Callithrix jacchus: one gene and its partner. The protein of the gene in region 1 purifies or fractionates together with the protein of each later gene. This does not show direct contact. Links are inferred from orthologs where the notes say so. Each region holds a gene or a part of one and is shown in the gene's direction. Other genes may lie near its edges.

The links.
Region 2: the proteins of RILPL1 (region 1) and RAB10 purify together in Homo sapiens (co-immunoprecipitation; 3 studies listed by BioGRID and IntAct, with this or other methods). This does not show direct contact. The link is inferred for Callithrix jacchus from reciprocal best matches to the Homo sapiens genes RILPL1 and RAB10.

The regions. Positions count from the first base shown.
Region 1 is NC_133510.1:126,721,201-126,725,047, reverse strand, and holds part of RILPL1 (RILP-like protein 1), read left to right. Parts: intron 1-3,375; coding exon 3,376-3,526; intron 3,527-3,847. UniProt on the Homo sapiens protein: Plays a role in the regulation of cell shape and polarity. Plays a role in cellular protein transport, including protein transport away from primary cilia.
Region 2 is NC_133515.1:88,923,552-88,927,662, forward strand, and holds the start of RAB10 (ras-related protein Rab-10), read left to right. Parts: upstream 1-1,311; 5' UTR 1,312-1,823; coding exon 1,824-1,950; intron 1,951-4,111. UniProt on the Homo sapiens protein: The small GTPases Rab are key regulators of intracellular membrane trafficking, from the formation of transport vesicles to their fusion with membranes.

The DNA.
Region 1 (3,847 bases):
CTCCTGGCCTAAAGCAGTGCTCCCACCTCAGCCCCCTAAATTACTGGTGTGATAGGTATAACCCACCACACCGTGCCTAAGTCCCTAACTTAATCATCTCTGCGCAGTCCCCTTTGCCACGTAAGGCAACATATTCTCAGAGACTAGGACCTGGAGGACTTTGGAAGCTGTTATTCTGCCTGCCCCAGCCAGTTACACTTGACTGATGTTCTCTGAGCATCTGTGAGCCCAGCCGATGCCCACTGGGAGCAGAGAGGAACAGGGCTGGATGTGCCTCATTTGCTTCCAAGCCCCACCTGCTTGTGGGAAGGTCAGCATGCCCTCCCCATCCCTCCCCCACGACTGCCGCCCCCCACCCTGCCCTTCACCTCCCCTGGTGACCTTGAACCCTCGGTGCCAGTACTAGGCTATTACTCCTCTCGTCCCCAGTGCTACAGGTTCTGACAAAGGAGGTGGGTCTGAGAATTTATTTAGCAGATGGACAGAGGCATGCCTAGCATGCGGCCACCTGGCCGCTTGTGATGGGTGGTAGGGATGGAACAGAGATTACATGTTGTTAGTGCTTTCTGGTGGCTGGGCATGTTCTGGGCACTTTACTCATAGTAACTGTTTAATCCTCACACCCACCCTTCCTGGCAGATCCTACATTGTTCTCCTCATTTCCAGGGCACCGGAAGGTTGAATAACTTACCAGGGTCAGCTAGTAAGCAGCTGGAACAGGATTCAAACTTGGGTCAACAGGCTCCGGTGTCAATGCCTTGAACCACTATTTATTTTATTTTATTTTACATTTTTCGAGATGGAGTCTCACTCTGTGGCCCAGGCTGGAGTGCAGTGGCGCGATCTCGGCTCACTGCAGCCTTTGCCTCCCAGGTTCAAGCAGTTCTCCCACCTCAGCCTCCCGAGTATCTGGGATTACAGGCACATACCACCATACCCAGCTAATTTTTATATTTTTGTAGAGATGGGGTTTTGCCATGTTGACCAGGCTGGTCTTGAACTCCTGACCTCAGGTGATCCACCTGCCTCCCAAAGTGCTGGGATTGCAGGTGTGAGCCACTGTGCCTTGCCTATTTTACTATTTTATTTTATTTTTTGAGATGGAATCTCATTCTGTTGCTCAGGCTGGAGTGCAATGGCTTGATCTCGGTTCACTGTAGCATCCACCTCCCAGGTTCAAGCAATTCTCCTGCCTGAGCTTCCGAAGTAGCTGGGATTACAGGTGCCCACCACCACACCTGGCTAATTTTTTGTGTTTTTAGTAGAGATGGGGTTTTGCCATGTTGGCCAGGTTGGTCTCGAAATCCTTACCTCAAGTGATCCACCCGCCTTGGCCTCTCAAAGTGTTGGGATTCCAGGTGTGAGCCACTGCACCCTGCCACCATCAATTTTAGAACATTTTCATCACCCCCAAAAGAAAATCTATACCTATTCACAGTCATTCTTCATCTTCCCTCTAGCACGCTGGCTCTAGACAACCTGTCTGCTTCCTTTTTCTCTCTTTTTTTCTTTTCCTTTTTCTCTTTTTCTTTCATTTTGTGACAGATTTTAGCTCTTGTTGCCTAGGCTGGAGTGCAATGGCTCAGTCTCAGCCACTGCAGCCTCCACCTCCTGGGTTCAAGAATTCTCCTGCCGTAGCCTCCCAAGTAGCTGGGACTACAGGCATGCACTACCATGTCTGGGTCATTTTTTGTATTTAGTAGTGACGGGGTTTCACCATGTTGGTCAGTCCAGTCTCGAACTCCTGACCTCAGGTGATCCACCCACCTCAGCCTCCCAAAGTGCTGGAATTACAGGCGTGAGCCACCACGCCTGACATGTACATGTACATGTATATGTATATGTATATATGTATATATATATATATTTTTTTTTTTTGAGATGGAATTTTCCTCTTGTTACCTAGGCTGGAATGCAATGGTGCAATCTCGGCTGACTGCAACCTCCACTTCCTGGGTTTAAGCGATTCTCCACCCTCAGCCTCCGGAGTAGCTGGGATTACAGGTGCCTACCACCATGCCAAGCTAATTTATATATATATATTTAAAAAAAAAGACGGGGTTTCACCATGTTGGTCCTGCTGGTCTTGAACTCCTGACCTCAGGTGATCCATCCACCTTGGCCTCCAAGTGCTTAGATTTCAGGTGTGAGCCACCACGCCCGGCCGCCAAGCTGATTTTTATATTTTTAGTAGAGATGGGGTTTCACCTTGTTGGCCAGGTTGGTCTCAAACTTCTGACCTCAAGTGATCCACCCATCTCGGCCTCCCAAAGTGCTGGAATTACAGGCGTGAGCCACTGTGCCTCGCCCTGCTTCCTATCTCTATGGATTTGCTGATATTGGACATTTTTTAAAACTGATCATATAACATTTGACCTTTTGTGTCTGGCTTCTTTCCATAATGTTTTCAGGGTCCACCTATGTTGTAGCGTATGTCAGACTTTCATTCCTTTTAGTGGCCAAATAGTATTCCACTGTATGGATGTGCTGTTTCTGCGTTTTGGCTACTAGGAAGAATGCTGTGAGGAGCATTTCCCTGCACACGTTTTCATGTGGACTTGTGTTCACACCTCTTGAGCCGATCCAAGGACTGGAGTTGCTAGGTCCTGTGGTAACTGTGTTCATGTTTTGCGAAACTGCCAGTGTTTTCCAGAATGTCCGCACCATTTTCCATTCCCACCAGCGGCGTGGGAGCGCTGCTGTTTCTTCCTCTCCTTGTCAGCACTTGTCATTGTCTATTTCTCTGACCACAGTCACTCACAAGGTAACTTTAATAGACTGATTTTATTTATTCTCACATTCACCTAGTGAGCCTTTGTTTTGGTTCCCCTACTGAGAGAAACTGAGGCTCAGGGTGGTCAGGTCAGTGGTTGAAGACCCTGTGGAGAGAGACCTGGATCAGATACCTAAGGAACTCTGGGGCAGGAGGACCCTGTCTGCCTCGGCACCCCCAGGATTTTCGAGCCCTCTGGCTCCTGTGGAGAGAGGTTTGTCCCAACTGTCCAGAGTCAAGGACGTGCCCCCAGAGGTTGAGAATGTTAGGACCCGCACATCCTGGGGCTGCTCTGCCCTCTCTGAAGAAAGCTCCAAGACGTGGCACCAGCTTTGTGGTTGTCCTTGGGGCAGTTCTAACTGGGCCAGGTCCTAGCAGCATAAACGCAGGCATCTGCCCCAAAGAAGGGTGCCTTCTGTTTCTTGCAAAAGTACCATATGGGGCTCATGGTGGCCTTGCCAACCCAGATGCCTGATTCCCAGTTCTCACAAGGAAGGGGAAGGCCCAAAGTCCCGGCAATCCAAGCCGCCCTTAGGGTCAGGGTGGGTAAGGCTGCTGCCCTGGGCAGGCAGTGACCCCGTGCTGTCCCCTCGCCTTGGCAGGAGCTGGAGCTGGTGGAGGATGTGTGGCGAGGGGAGGCTCAGGACCTCCTCTCCCAGATCGCCCAGCTGCAGGAGGAGAACAAGCAGCTTATGACCAACCTCTCCCACAAGGACGTCAACTTCTCAGAGGAGGAGTTCCAGAAGCATGAGGGTAAGTGGGGGCCGGCGCCAATGCGAGGGGCCGGCCGTTCCTTTTCTCATCGCCCACATCAGTGATTGTCGCCACCGCCCCTGGACATTGATGCGGTGCTGGCTGGTGCCCAAGGCCCTTTGCCTCCTGTGTCATGTTGACTTGCCCCATAGCCCTGCCAGAGAAGCATCATGTAGCCTCAGTTTACAGATGGTGACACCGAGATTCTTGCAGCAAACTATCACAGCTTCCCGTCTGTTTGTGAGGTTCCTCTCTTGGCCCTGGGATACGTGTTAAACACGACAGAGACCCTGCCCTTGGGAAGCTTGTGTGCTTTGCAGA
Region 2 (4,111 bases), on another chromosome or scaffold:
ACTACGGAAGGCAAGGAGAAAAAGAGCGGTGTAAATAGGATTGATGGGGAGAGAGGTCAGAAGTAGGTAAAACAAATGAAGAGAGAATGCGAGGATGGAGGCTGTGTCGGATTGGGGGTAGGCTTGACCACCTTTCAATTTTTTTTTTTTTTTAATCAGACGAGGTCTCGCTCTGTCGCCAGGCTGGAGTGCAGTGGCAAGATCTCGGCTCACTGCAATCTCTGCCTCCCAGGTTCATGCGATTCTCCTGCCTCAGCCTCCAGAGCAACTGGGACTACAGGCACGTACCAACACGCTCGGCTAATTTTTTGTTTTTTTAGTAGATATGGGGTTTCACCGTGTTAGGATGGTCTCGATCTCCTGAACTCGTGATCCACCCGCCTTGGCCTCCCAAAGTGCTGGGATTACAGGCAAGAGCCACCTCGCCCGGCCCACCTTTCAATTTTCAACCCAGTACGACTCTGGTGGCAGGTAGACGCTCCACGTCCTCTGCGGAGAGCTCTCGGGTTCTCCCGGATTCCTAAAGGCCAGCAAAGGCCTAGAGCAGGTTCTCTGAGCATCGCACATAACCTTCCACTTCGCGGGGTTGTTGTTCCTGCGCCCAGGTGTTCCTCAGCCTTCCTCTCCTCGCCCAGGAAGAGGCTGTGGGGATTACATCATACCAACCCGAGCAGCATGGCCAGGTTTTCCATCTCCAACTCTTGCTCCAGAAGCGAACCGGGATGGAGCGCTCAAGTTTCCCCGTCAGGGTTGGCCCTGGCGGGGGGGAGGGGAGCGGGTGGCACGCCGGGAGGAGTCTCGTTCTAGCAAAGAAGCTATTAAATGACCCAAGGCACGACTTTTTCTCGCATTCACGAGCTCCACCTACACAGGAACACATGGCCACCCAAGCCCGTCGCTGCGCCCAGACCTCCGGCTCAACACACCCGACAAACTCTGTGCAGAGAAACCGCAGCGCGGGCTAGTCGGCGACCCCGGGAAAGGAAAGAGGTGCGCGGTGCGGAAAGCGTGTACCCGAAGGCGCTGCGCCTGCGTAGTGGCTAGGCAGCGACTCCCGAGGGGCGTGCTCGTAACGCCGCGCACCCTATCAGGCGGCCAAAGGGAGCGCGCCGCGGCCTCACCCCCTCTCGCCCCTCCCTTCTCCCCTCTGGGTTTAGCTTCAGACTGAGGCTTGGAGGCCGGAGGGGGCGCTCCACTCTCCACCCAGGCGCGCCCCACGCCCTCTTGTGCGCGTGCGCAGAGGCGGACCGCAAGGCGAGGGCGCGAGGGAAGGGCGGGCGTACGTCCTTGCGTGCGTCTCAGGCAGCGCGCACGCTGGCGTGAGAGGGCACGGGGGAAAGGTGGCTCTGGCCGGGGTGGCTCGGCTTCCTGGGGCTATGTAGCTGAGCCCGTCGACTTGGGGGTTCTTCTTCGCTGTCCTCGCGGCGTGCTAGCGCAGAGTTTCTGCTCCGGGGAGAGACTGTACACACGCCCGCCGCACCTCCTCGACGGCAGAGCAAGCTTGCTCGCCCGTGGGAGCGTCCCGGCCGAGAAACCCTGAGGGGGGAGGGGAGGCCATTTTGTCCCGACCGACTCCCCGGAACCGGGCGGAGCGGCTGGGAGAGGCTGCGGAGCTGCGGTCGCCGCCCTCGGAGGCACTGGACGGAGGCACTGTCTGGGCTTCCTCGAAGCTGTTCGTAGGTCGCCCGCACCCTCTCGAGCTTTCCTTTTTCCCACGCTTCCCCGTCCTCCGGCCTGAGAACGCCCGAGTGAGGAGTTGGCTGTAGTGAGAGGGACCGATCCCTTGGGGCCGCCGGCGGCGAGAGCCCGAGCCGCTCCTCCCAATGGCGAAGAAGACGTACGACCTGCTTTTCAAGCTGCTCCTGATCGGGGACTCGGGAGTGGGGAAGACCTGCGTCCTTTTTCGTTTTTCGGATGATGCCTTCAATACCACCTTTATTTCCACCATAGGTAAGACCTGTGGGAGGACAGTGTACGGTCTCGGTAGCTGCAAACCTTTTATTTTACTCCAGACATCTTGCTTCCCGTGATATACGCCTTTGTTTCGGTGATTCCGATTCCAAACGACAGACCCAAGTTACTGTTTGAATCGGTATGGAGCTTACTGGGGCGGGGTCTTCCATGCTTTCCATCCGGCCTTTTGCTTTCAAGTCTCCCACTATGCTCAGTGCCTTCGGTTACAAAATATGCATCATTTAACCACGTTCCGGAACCTTATTTCTTCAGGACTGGCTTTTTCCACATTTGCGTGGAATTATTAGATGTGTGGTATATGTAAGGTATTTATTTCAGTGGTTGTGATAGAAGCAGTACTAGCTATTTGGGAAAGGCCTGAGTTTATACTCCGGGGCAAAAAGAAGATTCCATATGGTCATAACTTAGAGTAAACTTGAGGGTTTGTGTGTAGAATAATTAAGGCAAATTAGAAGGGAAAAGTGAGTTGTCCTCCTTGACTAATCCATTGATGTGTCAAACAATCGGAGGCCCTTCGCGCTTGGGGTGGGACTCTGGCATATTTGCCTCAGTGCCTTTTGAGACATCAACAGAAACAGTAATCTGAGGGAGATATGATCAGTTTCTGTCCTCAAACCCAACAGAATGAAGTCAAGTTCTCTCTTCTGTTTCGACTGTAGTATTTACAGGAAAGTATTTTGCCAGTCATAGCCCTAAGGACTTCTAATGTACTTTCACCACGTTTCAGAATTACTTAGTGTGGAAGTAAGAGCTAAAGAGTGACCTTTTAAATCGAATTTCCCATTTAGGAAAGGAAAAGGGAAGGCTCTAGGAAAGTCCCTTTTGAATCTGGTTAGAAAATTTAGTGGCGCTGATGCTAATTGTGCTAAATTAATTGTGAAACTCATCCGATCCCCAATACATTTCTTCAAGACACATAGCTGCCTCTGTCACTTGGAGCCCAGCACTCAGCATTGTGGCGGTGTAGTTTAACCCATTTTTAAATGTAATTTTCTATTGAGACGATTTTAAAAAGCAACTGCAGTTGTCTTTGAACTCTGGGAATTGTTAAAATTAAGCTGATTTGAAAGAATTTATAGCGTTACTGAAATAATTTGGTTTGGATTTTTGTGCGTGTGTGACAAATAGCTGCTTCATTCTCACAAAAGAAATTACACTGAAATTAAATTGGACAAGTGGTTTTTTAAAAATAGATTTTTATTTTGCTCACCCTTTTTGGGTGGAAATTACAGTTCTTATTTCCGGAGTATCTTACTGTTCTCTTGGTCTTTCACAAATTTCATGAAACTTAGAACTTGTTCTCTAACTTCTGGGTTAGAGAACACTAGCACTTAGCGCTAGCACTTACAATGCACTAAGTTTGCTTTTAACACTCCACTTTTAGCTGTAGTTGGGTGGGGTTAGGTGATCAGATGGGTCAGCAAATATTTACTGAGCACCTAATGCTTGGCACTATTCTTAGGCACTGGGAATAAGTGGTGAACACAACAGACCCCTCGAAGAGCATTCCAGTGAGGTCAATCATAACAATGTGGAAGGTGCTACAGTAGTAACCATAGGGAGGAGGACTGGCTAGCCTAAATCGTGAGGAGTCTGAGTAGGCTTACATAGAGATGATATCTAAAATGATGAAGTCTGAGGGACTAATAGGAATTGGGTCAGAGGGGTGAGATAAGGCCTTTCTGGAAAAGGGAACATAGAACAAACGTATAGTAAGGTTGAGGATTTAATTCATGTGGTCAACTTTATTTTGAGACAGAATTTCGCTCTGTCACCCAGGCTGGAGTGCAGTGGCATGATCTCAGCTCTCTGCAGCCTCCACTTCAGGGGTTCAAGCAATCCTCCTGCTTCAGCCTCCTGAGTAGCTGAGATTAAAGGTGCCCACCACCGTGCCTGTCTAATTTATGTATTTTTAGTAGAGACTGGGTTTCACCATGTTGGTCAGGCTGGTCTTGAACTCCTGACCTCAAGCAGTCCACCGCCTCAGCCTACTAAAGTGCTGGGATTCCAGGGGTGAGCCACCATGCCCAGCCATGTGGTCACCTTTAACCTGTCATTAGGAACAGTGGTGGATGGAGAGAATTGGAAGCAAAACATTGTCTACTCCAATGTTTTTGTAAAGGGTACATGCCCCCAT